4 linked regions of the Notamacropus eugenii genome follow. The protein of the gene in region 1 interacts with the protein of each later gene in a pairwise test. Links are inferred from orthologs where the notes say so. Each region holds a gene or a part of one and is shown in the gene's direction. Other genes may lie near its edges. The genes, in order: UBE2K, SIAH1, RNF125 and RNF111.

Evidence for each region.
Region 2: the proteins of UBE2K (region 1) and SIAH1 interact in binary tests that used the Homo sapiens proteins (3 or more experiments, as listed by UniProt). The link is inferred for Notamacropus eugenii from reciprocal best matches to the Homo sapiens genes UBE2K and SIAH1.
Region 3: the proteins of UBE2K (region 1) and RNF125 interact in a two-hybrid assay, tested with the Homo sapiens proteins (2 studies listed by BioGRID and IntAct). The link is inferred for Notamacropus eugenii from reciprocal best matches to the Homo sapiens genes UBE2K and RNF125.
Region 4: the proteins of UBE2K (region 1) and RNF111 interact in binary tests that used the Homo sapiens proteins (3 or more experiments, as listed by UniProt). The link is inferred for Notamacropus eugenii from reciprocal best matches to the Homo sapiens genes UBE2K and RNF111.

What each region holds. Positions count from the first base shown.
Region 1 is NC_092877.1:93,756,824-93,764,841, forward strand, and holds the start of UBE2K (ubiquitin-conjugating enzyme E2 K), read left to right. Parts: upstream 1-5,013; 5' UTR 5,014-5,036; coding exon 5,037-5,099; intron 5,100-8,018. UniProt on the Homo sapiens protein: Accepts ubiquitin from the E1 complex and catalyzes its covalent attachment to other proteins. In vitro, in the presence or in the absence of BRCA1-BARD1 E3 ubiquitin-protein ligase complex, catalyzes the synthesis of 'Lys-48'-linked polyubiquitin chains.
Region 2 is NC_092872.1:463,105,699-463,112,600, reverse strand, and holds the start of SIAH1 (E3 ubiquitin-protein ligase SIAH1), read left to right. Parts: upstream 1-3,900; 5' UTR 3,901-6,902. UniProt on the Homo sapiens protein: E3 ubiquitin-protein ligase that mediates ubiquitination and subsequent proteasomal degradation of target proteins.
Region 3 is NC_092875.1:258,756,131-258,763,432, forward strand, and holds the start of RNF125 (E3 ubiquitin-protein ligase RNF125), read left to right. Parts: upstream 1-4,293; 5' UTR 4,294-4,397; coding exon 4,398-4,564; intron 4,565-7,302. UniProt on the Homo sapiens protein: E3 ubiquitin-protein ligase that mediates ubiquitination and subsequent proteasomal degradation of target proteins, such as RIGI, MAVS/IPS1, IFIH1/MDA5, JAK1 and p53/TP53.
Region 4 is NC_092872.1:137,330,466-137,337,633, reverse strand, and holds the start of RNF111 (E3 ubiquitin-protein ligase Arkadia), read left to right. Parts: upstream 1-4,157; 5' UTR 4,158-4,480; intron 4,481-7,168. Other genes in the region: SLTM (SAFB-like transcription modulator), read right to left, coding at 1,970-2,060, 3,488-3,655. UniProt on the Homo sapiens protein: E3 ubiquitin-protein ligase. Required for mesoderm patterning during embryonic development. Acts as an enhancer of the transcriptional responses of the SMAD2/SMAD3 effectors, which are activated downstream of BMP.

The sequences.
Region 1 (8,018 bases):
AAAGTTTGCTAAGCCCAGTAATAACTGGGGTGTATTCCCCAACTTCCTTACCCTGTACCCTATTCCTTGAAGAATGACTTCAGGCCTTCTCAGCCTGAGAAGAAAAAGAGGGAGAATATTTTTAGGTAATCTAATGGAGAAGCTGGACATTAAAGATGAGGAACTTAGTCATATGACTACTAAGTTGATATCATTATATATGGTGGGTAATGATTCACTAGTCCATTTTCCTTAATAAATAAAGCCTTCTTACTAAATGTTACAGCCCAGCTAAATCTGAAGCATGACGAGATAGGAAAATGATGAAGTAGAATGTCAAGAATACTGAACTACCTTTCAGGAGACTATGTTTTTAAGTCTTATTCCTGTGAGTTTGGGCAAGTTACTTCTCTACTTCTAAGTATTCTCATCTGGAAAATGAGGATAGGATATTTTTCATTTTAGTATGGACATATATATAAGCTAGAGAGTATTCACTGCAGGGTCTCTAGGTTAGGTCATCCCAGAATCAGTTGAAGGAACAAGGGATTTTTGTCTGGAAAAGAAAAGGCTTATTGGATAAGTGGTAGCTATCTTCAGGTGAAAGGAGGTGTCTACATGTGGGGTAAAAGATAGAGACTATTAAATCCAAAGGAAGTTCTTTCAGATCTAAATGAAGCATTCCACACTTAAGAAACAGTGTGAAGCTTGAATAAATCTCAACTGCATATGGAAAAGTCAATGAAATAATGAACTGATTCCTCCAAACTACATAAGACCCTAACAGGAATCTGGGAAATGTAATTGGCAGACCTCCATAAGTAGGGTGAATAAATGGATAAATTAATAAAGCATTTATTAAGTGCTTACTATGTGTGTAGCACTCGGCATATAAATAGAAAAGCTCTCAGAAAGCTCCATTCCAATAGGGGAGATAATACATATGGAAGGTTTCGGGTACAAGTCCCATGGAAAAGTCCTACGGTCTTTAGGGTACAATGGCAAAGCAGATGCTAGTGTCTCCTTTTTAATATCATTTCCACTGATAAATTCACCTATTCTTGATGTTGAACCATTTGGCAGTGTCAAGGACTTTTTTTCCCCCATCTTTAAAAGCTGCGGCTACAGCACCTACATAAGTAGTTGCCAGGATGTATCCCCAGAGGAATTGACTGTTAGGATGATGGCATTTGGATAACGCTGGAAGAGTTACTATTTCCCAGGCTCTTGGTCAGAGTCTTGGGCTTGTCTTTGTCAGGGATCTGACAAACTTGACTTGCCTAGCACAATTGTTCCCTATTTCTACTTTAGGATGCCTGGCTGCTTCAGTGAGTCTGGCTTGCCTGTCCTGTGTGTGGCAGCTGGTTGACAGTTGGTGGAGATAACTGGTTCCTTCTCCATAGGTGCTGCCCTCCTAGAGGATGACTGTGAGGCCTATGTTGCTGTGGAGATGTTGCCATTCCCAGGGCTCCTCATTCCATCTGAGAGATGCTGTTGGTGATGAGGAAAGATGGATCTCTTTTCCACTATGATCTATCCCCTCATGATAGCTATGGAGGTTGGGTGGTATGTAGGTCCAGTGGACCTGGGGTACACCATACACTAGAGTACATTGCTATTTGCTGGGTTCTTGGGTTCAGGATCCTGGGCTATCTCCACTAGGGTCTAAGGTTGCTTTGCTTAATCAAGTATACAAAAATGTTGAAAGTTACATTGGTAAATATTATTTTAAACTTTCCTAAAGCCAAATTAATAAATACAGTAAGAGGTTAATTTATTAGAATCCACATTATTATTAATGTCTAATATAAAAGAGTGAAAAATTTTATTATGAATTCCAAGCACTCTGAATTTGTTCAGAGACATCCCCATTTTCTACTATCTTGATAATGATGGCCATTATGGCTCTGCTGGGAGCCTGCACTTGCAAAGCTGGCCTTGTAACATTTCTGCTTCACTCTGCAAATCTTTTAAAAGTCACATTGGTCAGGTTTCTAATGCATTCTGAGTCTGGAATAATGCAGCATGCATCACAATCAATCCTCTGGTGCCCCACTGGCCTGGAGCTAAGTTTAGAAGTTTGACTGTCTGGAACTAAATGTAGCCTTCTCCTCCTGCAGCTGGAGCTTCCCATTCCAGCTGCCCAGGGAAACTAACAGTATGCTAAGGGTAGAGCTAACAGTATGCTAACAGTCAGTGCAGTGAAAGCAAAATTATTTTAGAGTTCAATGTTTTGAAGTAAAGAGATTTTTCAAAGAGAATCAAATGAGGGGGATGGAAGTAAAAGTAAAGAAAGAGAAAGAAGTCTAAAGAATCTGGCAAAATACCAGATGTCCTTTGTCAGGAAAAGAATGAAGATAAAAAAGAACTGTTTTGCAGGATGAATAAAAAACTTCAACCCAGAAAGGCAGTTAGAATGTGAAGTTCTTAAAGGTAGGGACTGTCTTTTGCCTTTTTGTATCCCCAACCCTTAGCACAGTGCCTGAATTGAGCAGTAAGATCAATGCAAGAGTGAAAAAAGAAATCTTGAATATTTATTTCTTCTTTGAAAGGAAAATCATGACTATTCTAGTATTCTAAAATAGTGGAGGCTACTTGTGCCGTTAGAGGGGAATCATACCTTATTACACTATGGTATTTAATTTGGCCTGAGTCAAAACTTTTAGTAGTCTACAAGGCAATTTTGTTTAACTATTTCCTTGAACTGTATTGGAGAAATAAGGGAGGGTTTGGAGGATGCTTTGTTAGGAATCTTCTGTCAAGTCTAAATAAAATGTATCGCAGAAAAAAACAAACAAACCAAACAGGCCTTTAAGTGGTAACAAAAGTTACCACAGTACTCCAAGCCATTAGAAAATCCATTTCTCAATCCAAACCCTTTCCCTCATCTGTAACAACACCAGCAGCACACAGGATGGGAAATCCTGTGAAATCTCAGCCCTTAAAATAAAAATTCAGTTCAATAAGTAGTTATTAAATACCTCTCTACTATAGAATGCTGCTGAGTCTGGCATCGGAGGATAGGAATTCAAGACCCAATAATTCTGCCACTTACTCCTGTTGTAACCTTGAATGAGTCTCCACCTCTGGGCCTGTTTCTTCATCTTCAAAATGAGGGGGTTGGACCGAACCTTCCCAGCTTTCAATCTGGGATCCCAACTTAAAGGCAACAGTCATTTATTTTCCTAGTAAAAGGGTACGTGGATATGTGAGGAATTCAGCATTAAGTTAGATGCCGGCCGGCCCTTGCCTTTGTGAAAGTTTAATAAGGGAGTTATATCACATCGACTACACAAGATAATTCACGCTACCTTACTAAGAGGTAAAAGAAAAATGTTACCTGAGGTGGCCGAGTAACTCGTAAACTGATCATCTTGGTGAACTACCGTATTTTCAGAAGGGTCTGTGTGGTGTTGGCGGATGGCTTTATAGAAAAACCTAAAATTCTGGTAAAGAACTATTGGTATTTTGTGAATTTCATTCATGTTGGGAATCTGGGGACTTGCATTGAAGACGTGTCTATGGGCTGAGACCTAATGCCCCTTTGATGGCGTGTAAACCCCAAAACCCTTGGATCAAAACCGGTCCAGGCGCAGACGCAGAGGTTTGCGTAACAAAGTAAAAAAAAAAACCCCAACCCCCAAACCCCGACTTCCGTGTAGTCGTCTGGCCGGGCTGTTCACGCACCGTGACCCACATAAGACACTTCGGCTCCCTTCTGGACCACGAGGGGGCTCTGCTGGGAGCCTCTGATGTCTGACGTTAGTCAGCTGGGAAATGGATATTTTTGGGGCGTTTCGTTCGTTTCCCTTTCTGCCGCCGCATTTTTTTGTAGCGGTTATGGATACATCTTGTCTTTATTAGGCACACTGTGTAAAACCACATCGGTAACATTGTATCTTTCCTCGCTCTTTGGAGATAAGCCTCCCACCCAAAGACAGGTCCCTGGAGGCGAGATAAGCTCGTGGCGGCCCGCCCCCCTCCCCCTCCCTGTCTAGTCCTTCTCCAGCCGGCTCCGTACCCGAAGGTCCCACTCCGGCCTCGAATCCTCCCTAGCTCTTGCCTTGGGGGCCGCAGCCCCCTCGGCAGGCCTTCGATGGCGAGCCCTTCCCGGGCCGGACGGGCGCCGGCCAGGGAAGCCGCCCGCCTCCACCCCCTTGGCCAAGCTGGCCCGGACTTCCAGGCCGCTCCGGGCTTTGCGTCGCGGCTTCTCGGCTGCTCTGCGGACGGGCTGGCCCGGGCCATGCGGGGGGGCTTTGCGGCAGTATCCCGCTAGCGCCTCGTCAGCACTCTTTTGTGATGGGTGGTGGGGGTGGCGGCAGAAAGGAGAACCTAATTCCCTGTTAGGGCTGTCCTGATTTTATCCTAAAATAAACCCAAAAAAAAGGCGGCGGCGATTTTGAGGAGGGCCCCCTGAAGGAAAGGTCGGAGTTCTGCGGTGCCTCTTTTCTCTCTTCTCCGGAAAGCCTCCTCTCCTCGCCCGGCTGGCTGCAGGGAGATGGACTGGGAAGCGTTTGGGGGGATGAGGGGGTCCTCATAGTGCGCTGATCCGCCTGCTGCCGCCAAGTCCCCGGGCAAGGTCCGGGAGGCGGCCAGGGCCTAGCAGCCGGCGGAAGGGTTTAAAGGAAAGGGGCGAAGCCTGAATAGGGGCCCCTCCGGGTAAGCCCCCATCCCCGAGTAGGGGGGGAGGGGGAAGGAGCAGTGTGCGCGCGCGCGTCACGGAAGCCCGGGACCACCCCACGCACGCTACGGCGCACGGGCTGAAGCTCGCGGCCGGCTGGCGGGCTCGCGGCTCAGAAGCTTCCTGGGGGCTTCCAACGAGAGCCGCTGCGCCGCCCGGCTGGGCGATCGCCATGCGCATGCGCGGCCCCAGCGCCATTTTGGTGGCCGGGCGCGGAGGTGAATCCACTGTGAGGAGAGAGCGGCGGCGGCGGCACGGCTCCCCTGCTCGGGTCTGAATCGCTGAGGGAGGAGGAGGCGGCGGAGGTGGCGGCGGCGGCGGCGGCGGTCGTGGCGGCGGCGGAGGCGGGGGGTGCGAAACGGCTGCGGGAGGAGACATGGCCAACATTGCGGTGCAGCGAATCAAGCGAGAGTTCAAGGAGGTGCTGAAGAGCGAGGAGGTCAGGAATGAACTCCCGGCCGTCCCCCCGCCTCCTCCCCTCCCAGGCACGACCTCCTCGACCCCCCCGGCCCCCCGCGGGCGGCCCCCCGCACGCCCGGCTCCCCTCCGCGCCGTGTCCGGGAGGCGGCCTCCCTCCTCCACCCCCCGCCCTGGGCCCCGGTTTGGCCGTGTCACCGGCGGGAGGGCGGCGGAAGGCGAGGCTGGGATTGGGGGGGACCGTGTTGGGGAAGGGGCCCGGCGGCCACGGCCGCCACGGCCGCCGCTGCAGGAAGTGTGGCTGCGGCGGCGCCGGGAAGGAGCAGGCCGAGGCCGAGAAACCCCGGGAAGTGGGTTGGGGGAAGGGGAAAGGTGGGAAGAGAACGGACGGAAAGCAGGTCTGCCCCAGGCCCTGCTGGGTGGGGGATCGGGGGCCCGGACCGGAGGGCTCCCCCATCTGTTCTTGGGGAAAGATCCCTGGGCACTGCTGAAAAAAGGGAGGACGATACTTGGGGGGATTTCTTCTTAGATGGGTTGGATGAAAGGTAGGCAGGAAAGGGACCAGGACAACATGGTGGCTCAGTGTCCTAGTGGAGGGAAGAGATTTTTTTCAGTTGAAATCAATGATTCATTCCAGGTGCCCCAGGAATGGGCCTCTGCATTGACCCTTCCAGGGTTTGTCTGAGGGCAGGCAGTTCTTCGGTGAATTTAATATTTTTAGCCAGTGACAGTGGTTGGTGAGAACAGATTACAGTACTGTGTTTTTATATAATCTCTAAAGGTTGGTAGACACCATCTCTTTAAGCCATTTGCCTCAGTGGCTTAAATTGTAGACTAAACTTAATTATGTCCCTTTTAGTTTACTTGTATAATATCTTTGAAAAAGAGCATTTGAAAATAGGAAGGTTCACCGACTATCTTCTGAACAAGAATGATGGGTGATTTAATTATCATTGACTGTTCAAAGAATGATTAAAAATTTCCAGCTGGCCAAAATTCTTCCTGTTCCTTCTAGACCGATGCATACTATTAGTGCTTCATGTATGTTACAGTCTGGTAATGTTCTTATGGTTTGTCATGCAACAATGCTGATCTCTCAAAACAGTTTTCCCCCACTTAAAACAGATATAGATGATGCATTACTTATTACCATATGATAATCAGAGTATGGAATTGTTTAATTGGAAATTTTTATGTATCTTCCCTAAAATAGAAGCAGAATATTTAGTATAATTACGTTCTGATCATGATCTCTTTTAAGTTTCTTATTATGATACTTTAGTAATAAGTAGTAGTGTTACTTTTGAAATTTAGTATTCTATTGAAATCATTACTAGGGTGACATCTGGCCTAAAAACTTACTGAGTCTGCAATGATCATATGAAAAAAATGCCACATCTTTGCAAGTAGACATAGTATCCTGTGATTTAAAAAAAATTACTTTGCTAGCTACTTTATACATTTGGGATGTTTGTATATTGTGTTAGTATTCCAGATGAGTCTTTTCCACAGAGCATGTGTGTGAACTTTGACCTGTATGTTTGTTCAAGTGCCAAAATGAATGGAAGAATGACTGTGTATTTTTGTGGTACAGTGCAGAAACCACTGCGCTCTTCAGAGTCCTAAGTGTCTGCACTGCTACAGACTATTGGGTGATTCTAACTAATGAAATGGAGGTGCTTCAGAGCATCCAATCTGAGTAACCGTAGTAAAAGGATAGGTTTTAAAAATAGTTGTACAAATCTTAATATGGATTTAATGCTTCCTTTTCTATTTCCTAGTTACAAAGTACACCTTACTACTTCTAATATTGGTTTCTTTGACTCGTTTTAATGGTGACTGATTTATTACCATGGTATTCTAAGGACTTGAATTCAGAGTTTCTAGAAATACTTGTTTATGCATAACTGAATGAATACAAGTATTCCTGTGTACTCCTTGTCCCCATGGGAGTTGTTTGGGAGTGGCAAAATTAGAATGAGAAAACTATCTTGGTGTGTCCAGAAGAAAAACCTTATATGCCAGGGTCCATCTTTTGGGAACTTAACTCTGTCCATATACATCTGAAAGCAAGCACTTCCTTCTTTGTCCTCCTTCCCCCAAGTCAGTAGAAAAGGACTTTTGCCCGGGAAGGGTCTCAGCCTTTTAATCTTGGATGAAAACAGGTTCCATCATTTATTTTTATTAGATCAAGCTCTATAAAAGGATTCTAACACCAATTATGCTCATTAGAAGAGAGGACTCCTAGCTTAATTCATGTATTTTGTTTCTAATGTTAACAATATTTTGAATGTCTGGTCGTATTCTTTCACTACTTTGGGTTTTTTTCTTTTCTGTCCAAAGTTTGCTTATATATTGAGTCTGTATTTATGGAGAATATCAGCTGATATCAAAGGCATTTTGCATTTCAGAAACCTTTGTAGTTGTAAAAGAACATTTTTATAGTAAGAATTCTTAACTTATTATCTTGTGAAAGGATTGTCCAGATTTTTTTCTTAGGTCTGAGTTTGGAAATCTAATTGACACATAGTCTTTTCAAAGTTTCCTATTAAGGTTTCATCTGAGTTTGATCTCTGGACCTATTCTTAATAAGTCACTTCAAAAATGTTTTTTAAAGAAATAGTAACTCAAAATTAATGGAATGGGTCATAAGGTAGGTCCGCTGTTTAGCCCCAAGTTATCCATCAGAATTTATTATTTAGTTTTACTTTTATTGTTGATAGCAAGGTAGTCTTAAAACCATGAATTTTTATTTTTTGCTTTTAACGTTTATTTTCAACGACATTGAAATGGAATTCATGGAACGATGAGGGGGAAAAAGGTGATCTTTTTAGTGAGATATTTTCATCCTGGAATCTAAGACTGTTTATAGTGAACAGGTTTTCTTCCAGTGTAGATTCATTTTAAAAAATTAAAGCTCTTGGAATATGAAAAGAGGTTG
Region 2 (6,902 bases), on another chromosome or scaffold:
TAGCTTTGAGGTTTGCAAAGTATTTTTATACACATTGCCTTGTTTTAACCTCACAATAATTCTTGAAGTATGTGGGTCTTACAGGTATTTATCTTCAGTAAAGACAATACAAATGAGAGAAGATATGTGTTTGTAATTGAATGTTCTCTAACCTGACTAACTTAATCAGGCAGTTGACACAAATAAGAAATAGATAAAACAGACATCAACACAGAATTTGAACGTTGCATGAGGAAGTTGTTGCAACCTAATTAATATAAGAAATCCCAGAGTCTAGAAATCACTTGACCCAGCAGACATCTTTGTTTTCTTGCTATTATAGACTGCCATGACTCTTTGCATGGCCACACCTGTTTAAAATAAAATTTTTTTGGTTAAACCTTGCCAGAGAATCATGGTAGAAGATGAAGGGTGTTTAAGGATGAAGGTGTAAGAACAGATGAAAAACTAACAAGAATGATAAAAAAGATTTTAAAATAAAAAATTATTGTAGATAAATTTTTTTTGTTTTTAAATCACTTATATTTCTGAAAATTTTTCTTCTGCTACCCTACAAAGCCATTCCTTGTTACAGAATAAAGAAGTGGTGAAGGAAAGTCATTCAGAAAACCCAACACATAAGTCGTATTTGATGCTATGTGTATTTTTTTCCATTCATACCAATTCCCTTCTCTTTCTTTCCCTTCTACCCATCCTCCCCTCCCCCAAGAAGGGAGGGAAGTACATTTCCTTAACTCTTCTCTTGGGCCAAGCTGGATCATTATAATTACATTGCTCTCAGTACCATTTTTTTTTTTTTTTGTTTGCTGCCGTTTAAGTTTACATTGTTGTCATTTTGTACATTTTCTTTCTGCTCCAGCTTACTTGGGCATCTTTTCCTGTGTGTCTTTCCCGTCTTGACTGTAAAGATTTTTATGAACTTTTTCATCATCAGTGAGTGCCTTCGGCCACAACATTGCCACGTTTGTACTCTTAATAGCACTGTCCTTGCTAAAAAAAAAAAAAGAAAAATCATTACATAAAAGAAATATGAAAGGAAAAACTCGACTTTTATTACCCCCCAAAATGGCAGAATGTTAGCTACTGACCTAGGTCCCTGTTTTCCTATTCAAATTTTTTATGAGCTGAATCCATACACACATTAAGGACATCATTGATGAAAGTTTGAACAGTTAGGCACTCCTAAAGGATATTCTGTACCAGATACATTCTTAAGAACACACAGTTGACTGAAAGGTTAAGACAAATATAAGATCTTACAGTCCTCTTCAGGTACTTTTGTTTGCAGATTATTTTGTTCTGGTTTCATCAAATCTCAGATCGTTGTAGAACCTCCTAAATGAGGTCCCTAATGGTCCAAGAGAATTTGCCTCTACACTGGGTGAAGAAATCCTGGATAGTAAGACATGAACTGAGTCTGACATGCAGTTGAATGGACAGCCCATAAGTCCTCCATCAGTACATAAATACTGAGCAGACATTGTGAATGGACAGTGCACTGATCTGAGAACTGAATTGGAGGAGGAGAACCAGTCAGATTGCCTTTGGGAAATTTCATAATGCTTCTAATGACCAAGCTGGGAAGTTAGAATCCTTAATGTAAAAGGTGGGACTTGAACTGAGCATTGAAGGAAAGTAAGAATTTTGAGAGACAGAGGTCATTAGGAGGTACATTACAGGCATATAGGTTATGGGGAACAATTAGAAAGCCTCCTTGCTGTGTGGACCTTAGTGTTGATTAAATAGATTAATATGCAGTACAGCTGGAAAATAGGTTAGGGTTATATTGTGAAGGACTTTAAGTAACAAACTGAGGTGTTTATATTTGTGCCTGGAATAAATAGGGTAGCGACTGGAGCTGACTGAGTAGGGAAATGACAAGACAGATTTGTGCTTTAGGAAAATCACTTTGGCAGCTCTGTCACAAGGGTGGATTGGAGGTGGAGGCAGGGGTGGGGATGGAGATACTTAAGTATTTTGTTTTTATTATGTCATCTTAATCTCCCAGTATATCCTTCCAGCATTTACCATACCCAAAGAGCCATCCTCTCTAACAAAGAATAACTTTGAGAAGGAACAAAAAAGACTTAGGGAGTTCAACTAAACTAATCCACGTGAACTGAGTCTGACAATATATGCAGTGTTCCATAAGTTCCCCATCTCTGAAAAGGAGGAAAAGTGTAGTTTTTAACTTTCTCTTTAGCACTTGATTTCTATTTTTGTTGCTCTTTCAATTTACATTGTTGTAGTTGTTTTGTGTATTATTTTCCTTATTCTGCATCAATTCATATGTCTTCCCATCCATATTTGAATTTTTTACATTTCTTATGTACAGTAATACACAATCATCTGGCTGGGTGAGAAACAGCAACAATTGATAATCACTCCAAAGCTAGGAGGGTCAAAAGGAGCCTTTAGGCAGGGTCCCATTGGCTTCCCAGTTTCAGACTGCAGGAGGTTTAAGGTTTGGGAAGAGGAAAGAACAGGACAGAACAGGAGAAGGGGAAGGGAAGGAAAGGAGCCAGTAAAACGGGGCATCTTTTGGCCATCCATATTTACAGTCCTTTGGAGAGGAGAAGAAAGGGGAGGGGGAAGCAGACAGGAGAGGAGGAGTTAGAATTACCCAGCTCCCTGTGTTCTTCCCCCACCCCCCCATTCAGCCCCTGCATCTACTCACAGGATTGTGTTTTGTCCTTCATTGCCAAAGAAGACCATGTCATCAGAGAAATGATGACATGAGTTGCACTTGACTTTGTTTTGAGTGAGGGAGGGTGTGCAGGTCACCAGCCTCACAGGGGCCATGCCCTGGCTACTTCTTAAAGAGTCCTATTCAATGAATGCTCTTCTTTGCTCCTGTTCTGTTCTGTCCTGTCCTGTCCTCTCCCCAAACCATAAACCTACTTCACTCTGAAACAGGGATGCCATTGGGCCCCTACCTAAGGGTTTCTCTCGACCCTCCTAACTTTGCAGTGGTTATCAACAGTAACTGTTGTTGTTTCCCACCCAGCCTGATGTCTTTTCTTTTTCTTGGCCTCCTTAAAGGGGCCATGTCCTGGCTACTTCTTAAACAGGCCTTTTCAATGAATGGGCATTGCCTCACCCTAAGGGAGTACCTGCAAAGACTGCTCAAGGTCTCCCATTGCATCCTGGGTCATCTCCAGTCATCCTGATGAATGTCTGGTCACTGGATTCAGATTTTTCTGGAGGAGAAGTGAGGCTGGTGACCTGCACAGCCCTCCCTCACTCAAAACAAAATCATGTCATAATTTCTCTGATGGCATGGTCTTCCTTGGCAAGGAAAGACGACCACAAACTGCACAGTAATAGTACATTAGCTTCGTGTAGCCTCATTGGTTTAACCATTCCTACTTTTTCTGCTACCGTAAAATATCATTGATTATTTTGGTTCATATGGAACCTTCCTAGAAAGGAATGCCTTTTGACTTTTTTTGAGACTCATTTTTTTTATACTTGTATCTTTACAGTTATGATTATTGGTTGTGAGTCATGAAATACAGTAGTTTCAGAAGAATTAAAGTTGAGGGTCATCCAACAGGCAATGAAGAAGCGTGGACATGAGTAGGTGTTCAATTATTTCTCTTGTGCAAATTCTGATTTGTAAAGATGTAAGAAATACATGATCAAAAAAAGAAGGTGGGGTCTGTCATTGTCAGATTGTAGGATGGACAGCTCAAATGCTCTTTTCTTATCCATACAGCATGAAGAGAAGCTAAGGAGGTGCATAGCAAGTTGGGTGGAACCTTTCCTCCCTAAATTATGATGAGACCTGGATAAATGACTTTAAAAAGATGAGAAATCATGTGTGGATCGCAGCTGGTGGTATCTGAGGGAGAACCCATGTGGATAAAATTACACCTCCATCAAAGTAAGGGTCCAGGATAAAAATTTTAACAGAAATTAGCAACAGATAAATCTTATTAAACTCCCATTAGTATGTGATTGGTTTCAGTGACTATTATTATTTTTTCCTTGTTGGGGAGGGGGAATGTAATTTTTGATACATTTTAGTTAATTTGACTTGCTTAGTAGACCAGGATTCTGGATCTAGAATGCTGTGTAATAGAATCTTACACTGAATGAGCATGTTTATTACCTTTTTTAGTAGATACGGGAAAAGGTTGGCAAATTGGCTATTTAAATGGATATATATGTACATGTACCTTTAAAAAAATGAGATCCTGTGCCTGAGCCTTTGTATCAGCCTCCCCTATGCCTTCTTAGGGGCTCCTCACCTCTTCAGTGGAAGTATCAGAGAGTCTTAACAATTAAAAAAAACAAGACATTTTTTTCCCATCATTCAGCATTTATTTTCTTTCCTTCACACTTCCCTATCCCCCCCCCCCAAAGAAAAAGAAAAAGAAAATTCTTTAACAAATATGTACAGTAAAGAAAAATAAATTTCTGTGCTATGTTAAAAATGTGTATGTATCACTCTGCATCTTGAGTGCATTCTCAGATGACTATCATTTTTCATCACTGGTGCTCTGGGAATCATGGATGATCATTGCATTTATCATAATTCTTAAGTCTTTAAGTAGTTCTTAAAATGTTATTGTATAAATTGTTTTCTGTTGTCCTCGCTTTACCCTGCATCATACAAGTCTTAACAGATTTCTCTGAAACTCTCTCTTTTTAAATTTCTTATGGAATAATAGTATTCCATTACATTTGTATACTATTATTTGTTCAGGTATTCCCTCTAAGGGTACTCCCTTAGTTTCCAATTCTTTGCCGTTATAAAAAACTACCATAATTTTACTTAGGGAGGGGGTGCATAGGGTCCTTTCCCTCTTTGATTTCTTTGGAGTATAGGCCTAGTAGGACAGAAAGTTACATGGTACTGAGAATGGAAGTTGCCTTTCCTTTTACATTAATGCAACTCCTCTGTCCTCTTCTCAGCAATTACTGGGTTCCATTTGGCACATTTGCCCTTATCCCCAATTCTAGAAAGGGTCCTGGGCTTCCATGCACCAGCAGAAATCTTCATTATAAGCCCATGTTCAATAATTCCCAGATGCCTTAAAAAAATGGCTCATATTTCTTGATTCAGCACATTTCTTAGTTTCAAAATCCCAGTTTTTACAGAGGGCTTAGAACTACTAATAGATGTTAGGCATAGAGATCAGTATCACCCCCCCCCTCCCCAAATTATACGAATAAAACAAGCATCAGTTTACAGCATTTATCTTAAGTACACCATTTTTTCTTCTCTTTTTAAAAATTCTGAACTTAAAACACCAAAAGTATCTTTACACAGCAGAATACAAAAAAACCCCTCCCTTTGAAATTGTGAATTTCCATTTTATACTACTTGCTTTTGTGGAGAAAAAATGTAGTTCTGTATGTTACTTTCAATACAGTGTTGTCTGTGCTTCCTTCTGTGCATTAAAAAAGGTCCATTTCAAAAAAGTGTTTCATTGACTTCAGTGGCTTGGGAGGGAGGCATCCATTTTATTGGAATAGGTTTAGGATCTGACATTTAATCTCCATACCTCCACTTTATAGCTGCATCTCTGCCAGTTTTTATCAAGTTGGTTCTTTTCCTAGTGTCTCAAATTATTCTAGTAAGTAAGGCATCTCCTGATTGGTTTGCTTGATCCCAGTTATGATAGCTTTGTAATAGTGTTTACTTTGCATATATAATATGTATAGACCTGGTTTTACTAAAAAAAATGAAATAACTATTTAAAGAAAAACAAAGTTGAAATGAGGTATAAAATAGACATTTGTTTTAAGGAAAAAAGCAGTTTTCAAATGTGATGTCACTTGAACAGCTAGTCAAAGACCTTTTTGGGGAGGCGCTGTGGTAGAGTGAAAGAGCCCTGCCTAAGAGTCAGAGGACCTGAGTTCAAAAACCATCTTTGACAGGTACTTGTGTGACTTTAGACAAGTTACAAGTCTCTGGATTGCAATTTCCTGATTTGGAAAGTGAAGACAGATTGAACTAATGGCCTCTGAGGTAATTTGTAATCCTTTGTTTATGATTTGTTTTACTTTTGCTTCTGAAATTTGTTTTAAATTGACTTTAGCTTGAATTACATACTGTCATAGGTTGAGAGGTTAAAAAAAAGAAAACTTTTGACTGTGACGTGGCATTGGAAAATGAAGCTAACAAAATAATTTGATAAAATTTTTTCATCTTTCAATTGTAATGGAACAATGAAATTGAACAAATGTAAGTTAAGTTAGAAAAAACTAGATGAATGACTTGGCATTAGTTTAGGCATAATTTATGTTAATTTACTTTTTTGTTTGCCATTAAATTATTGAAAATGAATCTTTAAGAACTGCCATGATATCTGGTTTTTGCTGATTCTTTTGGTGTACCACCCTGGTAATTTGTTTAAATAACATTATTGGTAAAGTTATGTTCAACTTTGAGTAAAAGTAGTTCTGTTGTGTTCTGGTTAGTGAGAAACTACTTTAATAAAGTCACCATTTTAACTGTCTTCTACTGGAAAATGTTTTTTTGTGGAGGCAATTTATTCCGTTTGGAGCTAAAATTGAACTCAGGTCCTGCTAACTCCAGTGCCAGCCTCTCTCTATCCACTGTGCCACCTAAACTGCCCCAAGTTTTTTAAAGTGTGTTTGAACATTTCAGTTTAATTGATAGCCATTTTTGATTACTTTACAAGCCATTCTAATTTTATAATTAATTTCTTGAAAGGTGAATATTTTGGTATTTTTCTTTTTTGTGACACTAAGCTAATCAAGTTTTGAATTTTCAGGCATTCTGGGAATCTAGTCTTGACTCTGCCTTTGAACAAATTGCTTTTATCTGGGCCTCAGATTTCTTATCCATAAAATGAGAGCTGACTTGTTGCACTAGGTAACACCCAAGATACTTCTGTTTGAAAGGTCTGCTAGTTAGAAATAATCAG
Region 3 (7,302 bases), on another chromosome or scaffold:
ATCTGACCAGCTTTCATTAACAAGTCAAAGAATGAGTTTCCTTAAGAGTCCGGATAATGTGGCTGATTTTTAGAATCATGCCAACCTTGGACAGCGCTTTAACAAACCTTGTTTTTATTTGACTGAAAGAAAGTTTGGGTCAAATTCATTTGGGCAGGACTTGAGTGTTGCTATTTCGGGGTCCCAGTCCCTTTAAACTTCAACAGGTAAGCTGATAAGGTTGGGAAAAAGAAAAACAAGAAAATTTGGCTTGGGGATATGCTGTAAAAGTTTTTCATGGCCTTACAAGGACTTATTTTATTTTATTTTTAGAGGCTAATCCATTTCCAAGTAAAAAATACGGTTTGACCTCAGGAGGAATAGGGAGAGTAGATGGTTTGGGAACTTTGGGACAATGAATCTCCCCTATAAAGTTCCACTGGTGAAATTCATCCATCAGAAAAATGCATGAGCAGAAAAAGAAAAGCAGACAAAAAACATTTTAGTCACTTGGCAAGAACAAGGGATGACTAGATTCAATGACATTCACAACATGGATAGATAAAGATGGATTGCCTTTTAGGCAGATGGATGAGAATACAGATCTATTGGAGTATTTGAGAGATTTAACAGTTTGTATCTTCACTGCTTTTGGTCAGAATTCTTTATTAAAAGACAAACCCTGTCAAGTTGGGGTAACATCTTAAACTAGCATTCTACTACCTACTGCGCTGACAGTTTGCCCTTTAGTAAGCAATGCCTCTTAGACATGGGATAGAGACACAAATCAATCTGAAATCAAGAGCCCAGAGGCAGAAAAGAAAGGTGGGAAGGAAAACTTGTATGAATGATGCAAAAAAGACTTCACTTGGAAGCATAACCAGGAGAACAATGTATATCATAACAATACTGTAAAGATAATCAGCTTTGAAAGACTTAGGAACTTTGATCAACACAATGAGCAACCTCAACTCTAAAGGATGAAGAAACAAGTTCTCCATGACCACACGCACGCAAGCACGCACGCACGCATGCATACACACACTGACTTTGTTCTTCTTGCCTTGTCAATGGGTGGGAGAGGGAGAAGGGAGGGGAGAATTCAGATCTTCTCTCCCAAAGATGGAAGCCAGAAGTCTTCACCAACTCTACCCCTCAGATGGGCATGAAGCATTGAGTATTCAGTCTCCACAGATGAACCCCATATAAATGGGCTTTGAGATTTGTGTTACATACATAAATAAGTATAATGCAAAATAATTTTGAAAGGGAATTGGGAAACTCAGAGAAAACTTCACAGAAGAGAAAGCACCAGAGGTACACCCTAAAGAAATACAAGGATTCTAAGAGGTAGAGGTAACAATGGTATGTGGTCCAGGTATGGTGGGAGGCAGGGCTGGATAGAGGAAGAAATGCTGGAGATGAAAGGAAAAAACAGTCCAGTTTGGCTGGGACAGAATTTGTGAAGGGGAATCATATGAAATAAGGCAGAAAAGACAGGTTTGATACAGACTGTGGAGAACCTAAAATGCCAGACCAGGAAATTGTATTTTGTCCTATAGGTGATGGAAAGCCATTGAACATATTTGGCCAGAAGTGACATCTTCAGATCTATGCTTTAGGAACATTATTTTGACAATTGTGTGGAAGATAGATTGGAGAGAGGAGAGGCTAAAAGCAGGGAGATCAATTAGGAGGCCATCATAATAGTACAAACAAAACACAATGAAGTCTTGAACTAGAGTAGTGGTCTTGTAGTTAAAGAGAAGGGGAGAGATGCAAAATATGTATCATCTGGGGGGTTTGATTAACTACAAACTCAATATACTTCAACAGTGTGATGTGGCAATCAAAAAGTCCATATGCTCTTTTTTTTTTAACTAGGTCTGTGATTTCCTCCATATGGGGAATTCCTGGCGGCCTCCACCAGTGCAGGCCTCCACCTACCCTACAACTCATTGTTTGGAGAGTTGTTGGTACACTGAGAAGTTAAAGTGACTTGAGGAAGATCATATATCTAGTGTGCATTAAGTATCATAGGAAGGACTTTAACCTGTTTTCCCAACTGACTCTGAAGCTACCTCTATCTACTACCCCAGGTGTGTGCTGGAACAGGCTCTTGAGAGTTGGAGGTTAAATTTTCAGGATGGGTTAGTTCATACTCAAATAGGAAATGGGCAAATGCTACAAATCAAAGCTAGATTTATTACTGTATTGATAGACTAGACTTAAGAAAACGAAGGAGAAAGTTATAACCATAGAGATTACACTTCAAAGTGTGCCTTTCATATTTTTCCCCCCAGAGTCAGCTGTTTAACATTGGTGAGTGCACCCCTGACTATACCACACTACCTTCCAGGGTCAGAACCTTTTTGAGAGATACTTCTTATAAAGCAAATGCCTTCAAGCAGGTTTATAATTTAAACTATTAATTAACTAATTGTAATGAGATATCTGGCTGCTTTAAAAGATACATGTTCCAGCATGTGGGATGTGGTATTATACTGTACTCTGCACTGATCACACATCATCAGGATTGTGTTCAGTTGGTTCTTGGAGACACATTTTAGGAAGGGCAGTGAAAACTGGAGATCAATCCAGAGGAGGATGGCTAGGATCAAGCAAGCAAACAAGACTCTATGAAGGAAGAAAACAAGCCTTACTCTCAAGGAGTCTACATTCTAGGGAAGTGTTAGTGGGGAGGGAACAGAAAAGAAAGTAGATCTCTAAGCTCATGGATCAAGGGAGCTCTAGGTAAGAAACTGGTGACTTTGCACAGCCCTCCCTCACTTAAATCCAATTCATTTGCATGTCCTGGCATCATCTCCCTGATGTTATGGTCCTCATGGAGAAACAGCAACAGAAGCAGCAGAGCACTGAGAAGTTGTGATTTGTTAGGGTCATTGAGACAATATGTGTCAGAAGGACTCCAAAGCCTTAGCCCATACGGACCACTGCGGCCACGTTTTTACCAATGTAGTCAAGTAATATTGAATAATATTGATGATGAAAAGGAGGAGGAAAGAGAGGAGGAGAAAAATCACTCATAAAATGGTATCTATGTGTAAGGCACTGTGCTAAGTGCTTTACAAATATGCTATTTTGATCCTCACAGCAACCTTGGGAGGTAGGTACTATCATTAAACCTACTTCACAGTTAAAGAAATTGAGGCACAGAGGTTAAATAACTTTCCAGCCTCACAGCTAGTATCTGGGACTGAGTTTGAATTCAGAACTTCCTGACTCCAGGCTTAGAGTCCTATTCCACTGTGACACTTAGCAGCCTCATGTATGTATGTGTGTGTTCTCTGGAGAAGAGAATCAGTCAATAGGTAGCTAGCTTTTATTTAATACCTATTATGTGCCAGACACTGTGCTAAATATACATATTATTTCATTTTAATTAGGCCCGATATAGGGGGAAATATCCTAACAGTTGGATTCAAAAGTAAAACAGAATGCCCTGGGAGGGGTAGATTCCCCCTTATTTGGAGGTTTCCAAATATATAGTTGTCCGTTTGATGGCTGTTTTATAGACGGGGTTCTTGTTTAGACAGACTAGGATCAATATGATTGTCCTCTTTAAATTTATCCATTACTCCTGCAGATCTGATTCAAGAAAATTTACAGAACATACAAGGGAAGGTGCTAAGTGCTGAAAATACAGCCCCTCTTCACCCCCTTCACATCAGTCCCTGCCCTCAAGTAAGGAGCACTTTACTGTGCAGTTAATGTCGTTATTAAGAACTGTATTATATATGGTTCTTATATTTTAGGCCTTATAATAAATATCTCAGTTAGTTGCAGTCTACCCTGATAGATCCCATCTAGACTCTAAATTACTAATACCTGTCATGGTTTTGAACTCCAGTTTCAGGAGTATTAGAACAATTAACTGCTAAAAATTGTTTGCCTCAACCCCCCACAGTGGTTAAGGACTGTATGCAAACACCCTGAACTTTGCTTGAATAGGGTTCCTGATGTATTGAACAGAGTAATGGCAAGTAGAAACCCGAAGGTTAAAAAAAGCTTCACATCCCTCCTTCCTCTTGGTTTGGGAGAGGAAGACCTAACAGTGGGCAGCTGCTATTCCTCTGTGCGGTTCGGGTTTCAGGTTTCAAGCCTCCTGGGAGCGGACGACACTGCAGTGCTCGCGGCTGCGGCCGCCGTCTCCTCCCCATGGTTGGGGGTAGCTGGAGGAAGAGGATAACTTCTGACTGGCGGAGTTACTGGCGAAAGTCTCGGCTTGGAAGGTTAGAAGGGGCGGGGGTTGGCTCCGGAGAGCAGGACTGTGGGGGCAGGGAGGCGGCGATCCCAGCTGGGCTGGGACTTCCTTCCTTAACCGCAGGACAACAAAACAATTGAAGCGAAGGCACCCAGCTTAGCAGCAGCTGTCCGGGCTGGAGAGGAGGCAGGCGATGGGTTCCGCGCTGAGCAGTGACAGCGGCCGAGCAGCCCCGGCTGCCAGGGCCACCCCGTCCGCCCTGCCCGGGAGGGGCGAAGTGGAGCTGCCGGTCACCTCCTTTGATTGTTCGGTCTGCCTCGAAGTGCTGCATCAGCCCGTACGGACCCGCTGCGGCCACGTGTAAGTGAGGGGGAGCGGCCCGGGGTGCGAGATCGCTGTGGCCGGTGCCCGCCGGGCCAGAAAGAAGCCAGGTGGAAGAAAGAAGGGGTCTGTCCTAGGTCAGTGGAGAGCATTAAGAGCTGTAACTTAGTAAAGCCGCGTTCTGCGATGGGGAGCTTCTGCTGGAGGTGTGGTATTGTAAAACCGGGACCCGGCGGGCCTCGGCTGCGGGAAAGTGCCTTGTCTGAAGGTGGCACAAAGATTGGGAGAAAGAGGGCGAGCCAGATCGACTACTTGCTGCGTCTCAGTCAAATCTGAGCGCTCTGAGGACGTTAGCGGGTCGGTGACCAGTCCGGTCCCGCTAGACGGTGCTCCGGGGCTAGCCAGGATGCTCGCGGTAGCTACTCAGCCCAGCCCCGGGTGCGCGCTCGGTTCTGGGTCCGCATGGAGTTGCCGGTGTCTTCTGGACCCCCCAGGGCAACCGTCTATCTAGGGCCAAGCCTAACTAGACCTTGCAAGTAGGAAGTGGCTGGCTGAGGCCAAGCGCAGTTCTCCAAGTAAACAGAGCCGGGCTGGCGCTGTGCCTCCCTGGGCCCCCGACACCCAGACGGGTCGCGTTTTGTTGGGGCTGCGCACGTGTCCTGAAACGCCCCCAGCGCTTCCTCCTGTGGCGAAAACCACTGACGGAGCAGACCCCAGCCCCCGCCGCTGTCCCCCCCTCCCTCCTGCCGAAGGTGAAGTTACCGGAGTTGTAGCGCCCGGGTGTCTCGCTTTGCTACTTTGTTAAAGTTAGGCTGCGGTTAGTTTCGAGTTTGGGAGCTGGCGTAAACAAAAGACCTCCTGCTGGGGATGAGTCTTTTTAAAGGAAACTACCAAGAGCCTGAAAGGTCAAGGTCTTCTAGCAGTAAAGAGAAAAAATATGATTAATGGGAAGTAGGGGTTAAATGGTGGGTTTTTTCAAACCACTTACTCCGACTGAGCTTTATATAAGTCAGTTGTTCTACATGATTTCTAATTCCTTAATGGGTAATCTAAATAAGTGTATATATGCATATGTAAGCATATGTGTGTATATCTATATCTATGTGTCTTATATCTTGCTTCAGTCGTTACAAAAAGCTTTACAGATATCCCCCTCTATCTTCGGTACAACCCAGGAACGGAGATGCTGTTATTATCCCCCTTTTACAGATGAGGAAGCTGAGACGAGAGGGATGGAGGTTTAGTGATTTGCCGAGGGTCACACAGTCGGTAAGCCAGCGTCACGTTTGAAGTCGGGTCGTCCTGACTCTAGGCACTGCGCCACCTAGCCGCCCAGATCGGAAATGCAGGTTAGAAGTTCTTGGCCTTTAGTAGGCTGTTTAGCGGAAAGTAGGTGGCATAGTGGATAGAGCACCCGGCGTAGAGTTCAGATTTGACTTCAAACATTTCCTAGTAGCCCTGGACAAATAACTTAATCCTGTTTCTCCTTCAGTTTCCTCATCTGCAAAATGAGCTGGAGAAGGAAATGGCGAATCACTCAAATATCTTTGCTTAAAAGAAACTTCCAAATGGGGTAATGAGTCAGACACCACCGAACAACAGGAATTAGTGGCCAGCTCACTTGGTTTGGAGCCAGAGAGTGTGACTTCAAATCCTGGCTCTATGCAACCTTGGGCAAATCACTGCATCTCAAATTCTTCATCTGTATGGTGAGGGGACCTTCTAAGGTCAATCTCTTCCAGCTCTAAACTTATGATCCCTACTGGTGCTTAGATGCACACAGCTCAGCAGTTGTGCCAAGTATATTATTTGATTCTACCATCCAAACTCCACTATCACATTCAATCAGAGAGCATTAATTTTAAGGGCCGTGCCCTGGGAACACAAAGAAGGATGAAAACATACTCTGGCCGTTTGTTTTAGCTAGAGGGGTATATGCAACCAACTGATCTTGCCACATAAAGGTCTCCAGATTGGATAGGAACTGTGGGGTGGGAGTGGGAGTGGGCTGTATTCTAGTCCAGCCCATTCCTCACAAGAATCCTCTCTTCAACTAGATGTAGCCTTTCCTTGAAAATCTAGTGAGGAAAAACCCCAATCCATTTTGGGATATCTTAACTTAGCTCAAGTCACTGTGGGTTTCTTTGCCACACCCACCCATTGCTTCAGTTATGATGGTATGAGATGTTTTTGTTTTTAATGAATCTAATCTTTTTTTAAAATAATTTACTTTTTTAGCACAAGCAATGGGTGGAGAAGAGGGGGAGAAGTGCTTACTAATTACCTAAAGATCAAGGAAGTTTTCATGGAGTAGCTGGCATTTAAATTGGGCTTAAGACTATGGATAGCAGTTTACCTTGGGAAGAGGCAAGGGGGAAAGCATTCTAACTTCAGGAAACACAGCCTGAAAAATAGATGCGAAAATGGAAAATTGGAGAAGAGTGTAGAAGAAGACAGACTGATTTAATTTGGCCTATTATTGAACTGATAATTTCTAAGCAAAGTTATGATATGATGTAGATAGAGATATGTAGAATTAAATTACTTTTTAAAGGGCATGTTCCATAGAGTATTTGATTTGTAAACACAGAAGTATTTGAAATCTCTGCTCCCTCCTCCCTCCTCCAACTTATAAAAACAGGCTGAAGAGATTCCCAGGGTTTGGCCTGTAGATATAGTAAGAATCTTTTTCACCTTTGTATATGGTGTCATGGGCATGTATTCCTGAAATACTAGAAATATTATGCTTTCAGCTTGGGGGGAGTAGGGGTGGTAGT
Region 4 (7,168 bases), on another chromosome or scaffold:
AAAATAAAAATACAATATGATAATGTTAATTCTTGGTTTTCAAAGTCAGTGTGTGGGCCAGAGGGATCTTTTTCAAGTTTCACACACCAATGGTGTAGTGAACTGAGCAGGGGAACCAGAATTCGAATCCTATTTCAGACATTTACTGACTCTAGGACTCAAGTCAAGTCACTTTTTTAATCCTCCTGCATCTGTTTTTTCATTTATTAAATAGGGATAAGTAATCAAACCTATCTCGCAGGATTTTACTTATCAAATGAGATAATGTAAAGCACTCAGGTAAATAAAAATTCTAATTATTACTGCAGATTCAGATTTTTTGTGTTTTCTTATCCATATTCCAAAGTTAAAGTCATCAAATAAGTGATCTATGGGTAAGTGAAATGCTTTTGTGTAACATGCTCAAGGATATATACTAAAAAAATTGACAGTAACACAAGGATTCTTAATCTTTTTTGTTATGGATCCCTTCTTAGAATGTTTTAAAATGCATTAAAAAAATACATATGATCACAATGAAAATCAATTATACTGAAATAATGTTAGCAGAGTATTTTTTTTCAAGTTCATGGACCCAGGCTAAGAATCTTTAGGCAAGTCAAAGTGGCACATAACTGTACTGAGGCTGAAGCCACTGGAAGGCTTGAGCTTAGTTCTTAGATGTATTAATGCTGAAGCCGATTTTGGGGGTCCACTCCAAGTTCAGCACCAGTATGGTAAACTCCCAATAGCACAGGGCCACTAAGCTGCCTAAGGACAGTAGAAGTAGCCCAAGTCAGAAAACCTAAGTCAGAGCTTCCAAGGTGAGCAATAGCAGGATCAGGTCTATGAATGGTAGCTACTTTCAGTCATGGAGAAACAGAGAGACCTAGTGCTAAGAGATGGGAGAGAGAGAGGGAATGAAAGGAGGAAAATGGAGGGAGATGAGGACAGAAAGGGAAAGATAAAAAAAAAAACCCAAACCCATCAACTATCAGGTAACTTGAGATGTGACAAGAAGTACTTTACATGGGAATGAATTAAAGGCCCCAAAACTGAAATTATATTCAAGGAATTCTTAATTTCCATGTCCTTAATTTAGGCGCTGATTTTTGCCCAATTTCTTCCTTCTTATGAGAATTCCAAAAACCAAACTAAAAAATTAGAATGTTTTACTTAACACAAAAACAGTATCTGAACTATATGACATCCCAATATTCCTAGTTATCAATTATCATTTTACTATATATGTTTCTTTGCAATATACAGGATTTTCAAAACAGCACTGGAAGGAATTACTCAGGGTTAAAAGAATTTGCCATAAGTTCTGGAGGAAACCTTACTAAGCACTCACTGAAACACAGTCAAGCAATAAATTTTAGGAACTTAGGCTAAAAGAATTCTATAGACATCCAGAAGAGTAAAGTTAAATGAGATGGTTAAAGTCTTACATTACTGAAATATATTTTGATAAAATTACAAAAAAATCAAGTTCTGATTATAAATGAGAAAAAGAAAAAAATGGAGGGAAGAACCTCAAACAGTTCCAAATTTTTAATTACAGTGAATATACACTAATTTGAATTCTATTCATATGGATTATAACTAAATTGGTACCAGCTTATCTACTGAAAATGAATTTGCCAAGAAAAAAATTAATTTTCAAAAACACAAATCAGTTAATTTCCTGTCCTCCCCTCTTTTTCTCCTCCTACCCATTTTCTTATATTAGGGAGGCACAGATATCAAGAATCATGATTAGTAACATGATAATAAAGTTCAGGTTTTAGTCAAGGTTGAGTCAAAACAATCTTATATACAAAATTAAAGTCACCTCCATTCTGGCAATCATTACTATGAAGTCTTCCATGATCTAAGAAGGCAGAATGCCAATGGCAAATTGCAAAGCATAGCACTATATAAACAGGGCAAATAACACACAAGCGTAGAGGAGTTATATAACATACATATTTTTAAAGCTTTTAACAACCTTTGCTTTTAGCTGCTGCTTTCTTGTTGGAAGTATCACCCGAAGAAGACAGATCAATGTTATCAGGATCACCTCCTTCCTCTTCAATTGCCTATGTTAGAAAGGTAGATTAATATACAAATTCTGTTTAAATTCATGTTTTAATAATAAAATTTAATTTCAAATTTTACCTAAATTGACATTTAAGTGATGAAATAAAAGATGAACAAATCTCAAGTCTTCTGAAAATGCAAGATATTAAAATAAGCAGCCCTGTCATAAAACCTACTTCAAGAAATTAAGCTACTTAAGAGTGAATAAAGCATGCTTGTGAAAAAAACTCCACCGCATGATTAGTAAAATCAAATTGCAACACAATGATGTTAAAGAATCACAATAAAGGGGAGCCATAAAAACTGGACCCACGGCGGCGAGTGGAATATTAACTGGACTTCGGTATTGTATATCATGAGCCATTTAAATTTAATAACAAGTGTTCCCTTTATTCTTCTGATGAAATTTTTTTCCCTCCCCCACAATCCCGACATACCCAGAAATAAACCAAGAGGTTCAACCGTTGAAAGACCAACCGTTACTATGGAATGTGAGAATTAAAAGTATAGTCACCTGTATATACATAGATTTACGTAGCTCACTCTACAAAAATAAGTCTATGTATACAGATTTTCTACATACATTTATGTAGCTCTCTACCTATACAAGTCTGTGTAGATCTCTATATATTAAGTTTATGTATCTAGATCTCTCTACATACACACATTTACGTAGACCTCTCCAGAAATAAGTCTATGTGTCTAGATCTCTCCATACGTGAATTTATGTACATAGATCTCTAAATACAAAGATATCCATACGTAATATAAAACGTATTGTTATCTATATTCAGCATACACATAGACGACCTACGCTAAACATTAAAATATGTGTATCTATACCTTTACGCGTGTATTTAAAAATAACGTATGTTTCAGAATATGTACCTATATAATAAGTCTATATTATGCAAAAAATGTAGATCTCTACAGGCTTAGATTATCTGTATTCCACGGATACAGATCGAGAGTTTAAACAACCAACTTCGTTAAGCTAAAGCGAGAGACGTTACAGCCCAACACGGTTCCCTTTCAGACCCGGACAAGGCCACGCGCTCGCCCCTGCTCCCCGAAGAGCCCGGCCGGCCGCCGCGCGCCCGGAGAGCGGAGCCCGGAGAGCGGAGCCCGGAACCCGCCCGCCAGCATCAGGGCCCGGCCCGCGGAGCCCAGGCAGCATGGGGGAGGGGTGTGGGCAGCCCGCCGCCCCAGCCGGGGGGTGGGCGCGGGGATGGGGCTGGGGCTGGGTGGAGAAGCGCAGCAATGCCCACCGCAGCCCCCTGCCCACAACCAGATCCCCGCGGGCTCGGGGCGCTCCGGGCCGGCCCAGCGGTAGCATCCTAAGAGAAAGGCGAGGAGGGCGGGCGGCGCGGCCTAGGACCGCGCAGGACACCGCCCCCTCTCCTCGGCGTCCCCAGCCGGGCCTCACCTGCTTGAGCCGGGAAACGAGCACGTTTTTCACCCCGTTAATGTCCAGGTTCCGCCGCTTCAACTCCGATTTGAGATCGATCACCCGCAGGTCGCTGATCTTCTTACTCTCCGACTGCCCCGAGGCTGCAGAGGTGGCAGAGGAGGAACCAGAGGCGGTGGCGGCCATTTTAGAGAAGGAGCACGCAGCGGAGGCAGCTCCGGAGCTGCTGGCTGAGGGCGGCGGCGGCGGCGGCGGCTTCCCCAACTTCGAGCCGGGCCCGAGATCCCAGCCAGTCTCTCACTGCTGCGCACAATGAACACTGGCCCCGCCCCTCGTCCCACCCCGCCGCAACCAGTCGCTGCCAGCACCCGGATGGAAGGGGACGCCTGCGCACTGGCGACCAGTTCTCGCTGCCCGAGGAGGAACCTGCGCACTGAGGCCTCTGGCGTTGGGAGCCCAACCCCCACCTGCCCGGCTACCTGAAGAGTGCTGCCCTCTTACGCCCTTACGCGAGGTGTGAGGTCAGACAAGTTGTAACTGCAATAACGTTTACTGAGCCACCGTTCCATGGGGTTATATGGTTTCTTTTCCTTTTCCTTTTTTTTAAGCATGAAAGGCATTGAGTGCCAACAAAATGCTAAACACCATAAAACATAAGTGAATACTTGGCACTTAATAAATGCTTGTTGAATGACTGAGTTGGCTCTGACCTGGTTCCTCACCCTTAAACACGACGCTTTAGTGGCCTTTTCTGGGTCTCCCCCTCCTTACTTCTGGAAAGGATTGAGATTTTAGTAAGGAGTCACTGATTTCTTTACCAGCGTATCTGACTGTATGTATGTGATGGCCCAACCCCGAAAGGTTGCTCTGCAGAGTCAAGAAATAGGCTTCCTAAAAATCAAACACGAAGATCTCTTGCCACCTCAGAGGCAAGAATCATTACTTTTACAGCAAGAAAATTAAGTCTCCACGAACAGTGATAATCTCTTCCTTGAAGAATCACCTTAACAGGTAAGTATCCTTGGATTATTCCTATTAATCATAATTACCATGCATATGGAATTAAAACTGTATCACATTTCTTTTTTAAAAATAATATTAATTTCCCCCAGTTACATGTAAAAACAACTTTTAGCATTCGTTGGATTTTTTTTTAAGTTTTGAGTTCCAAATTCTCTCCCTCCCTTGCTCCCTGCCGTCTTCCCCTTCACTGAAATGTGCATGAGCAGTCACATAAATCATTTCTATATTAGTCATGTGTGCAAGAAAACTCAAACAGGAATCAAGGAAGGAGGAAGGGAGGAAGGGAAAAATAGTATGCTTTGGAGTGTCTTCCGTTCTTTTCTCTGGAGGTGGATAGCATTTTTCATCGAGTCCTTTGGAATTGTCTTTGGATCATTGTATTGCTGAGAAGAGCTAAATCATTCAAAATTCTTCATCATAAATATTGCCGTTACTGTGTACAACTTTCTCCTGGTTCTGCTCACTTCACTTTGCATCAGTTCATGTAAGTTTTTCCAACCTTCTTGTCGTTTGGTATAGCAAAATAATATCCTATTACAATCATATACCACAGCTTGGTTGGCCATTCTCCAATTGATGAGAATCCCAATTCTTTGCTGACAGAAAAGAGCTGCTATAAAATATTTTTGTGCAAATAGGCTCCCTCTTGCCCCTTTTATTAACTCTCTTTGGTATACAGACCTAGCTGTCTTACTACTGGATCAAAGGGTATGAGCAGTTTTATAGCACTTTGGGCAGTTACAAATTGTTCTTCAGAATGGTTGAATCAGCTCACAACTCCACCAACAATGCATTCGTCTTCCAGTTTTCCCACATCTCCTCCAACATTTATCTTTTCCTGTTTTGTCATATTAGCCAATCTGATAGGTGTTATGTAGTACCTCAGAGTTGTTTTAATTTGCATTTCTCTAATCACTTGTGATTTAGACCTTTTTTTCATATGGTGTCACATCTCTAAAACACAGATCTACTCCCTGAATTTTAAGCTTAAACATTTGAATTCTTGTAGCAAGGGATTTTTTGTTTATTTGTTTCTGTTTTTTGCAGTGCAGGTGGGTCAATTCTCTCTAATGAATCCTCCTTTGTAGGGAGGAACATAAAACTATCAGATTTAGTTCAGCTATAGAGGTCGGTTGTTAGAAGGATTGTCAAAGAGAATACACATGCCACCAATTAGCTTACCCACTCAAGTTCTCAGTTTCTGTTAGTTGCACAACTATCTTCCCAAGTGGTCAGGCTTAAAACCTTGGGGTCATTTTTGACTCCTCTCTCATGAGTAAATCACTAAGTCTTGTGATTCCTGCTTTTGAAAATTTTCTTATTCATTTCTTCTTTTCCATTCTGATCACCTCCATAATCTAAATTCCTTTTAAAAACTTCATGTACAGGTCACTGTAATAACAACTTAATTGTTCTCCCTCTCTTCAGTTTCTCTTCCCTTGAGGCTATGTTATTCACTGCCACCAAATATGTTGCCTAGAAAGGCTATTGGATTTGGAGTCAGAGGAACTGTGTTCAGATCCCAACTCTGCCACCTATATGTCCTTGCCAAGTAATAGCTTCTCTGGGCCTTCATTTCCTCACCTATAAATCTTTTAAGGTCACTTGTAGCTCTAAATCTACAATCTGAAATAATCTGTTTCCACAAATTTAAATGAGAAGATTGGATTAGGTGATTTTAGGAGATCCCTTGATCCATGTGATAAACCTTCACATTTCAAACAAATGTGTCAAAACTTTGCCCTTGAATGACTCATGAAACATGCTGAATGAAGTTCTGAAGCCAATTAAATGTTGACTTGATATCACTAAAGAAACGATTAGAAATCCATCACAAAGGACATGAGAAGAGGGCAGAACATAAGTTGTAAAGAGGAGAAGAAGACATAGAGCTCTCAAGGCTTGGACTCAGGAACCAGAGGGAAAGTCAAAGATTAGAGAAAAGCCCGTAAGAGGAAGCTAGCAGTGGAGGGCCAGTGGTTGGTAAACAGGACCTGGCTTGAAAACAAATGGTGGGAGAAGCATTAGTGAGCATTTTGCGCTCCGAGGAGCTCATCCTAAAAGAGGGTATTTAAACAGACCCCAGCATCAAGGTTATAAGTCCTTGTTTAAATCAGTTAAGAATTGCACAGACTGGAGGGTGGAAAAGGAAATACAGTAAGCTATATGTGGGTTTTGCCTCTGTATGTTTGTAGCAGTAAAGCTGCTTTTGATACGTTGTGGCTCTTCACCAATAACATTCATGGTAATAGCTTGTAAATAGCACTGTACAGTTTACAGTGTGCTTTTCTTGAAACAAACCTGTGAGATATAGCATGCATCCCTGTTTTGCAGGCTTTAACTGACTTCACATCGAATTACAAGCCCAATACTATTCCATAACCCTCTCACAAAATGCAGTTAAACTATCCTTCAAAGTGGGGTAGGTGGGAGAAAGAAGTTAAGGGGAGAGTAGCCTGCCCCCAATCAGTCAGTCAACATTTATTAAGTGTTTTCTATGTGCTAGGCACTGAGATAAGTGGTGGAGATACAAAGGCAATAATATAGTCCCTCCCTTTGAGGAGCTTATACTTTAATGGCAGAGACAGTAGGTAAGCAAATATATACAAAGCAAGGATCATACAGTATAAATAGGAAATAACTGAGGGAAGACACTGGACTTAACAGGGGTTGGGG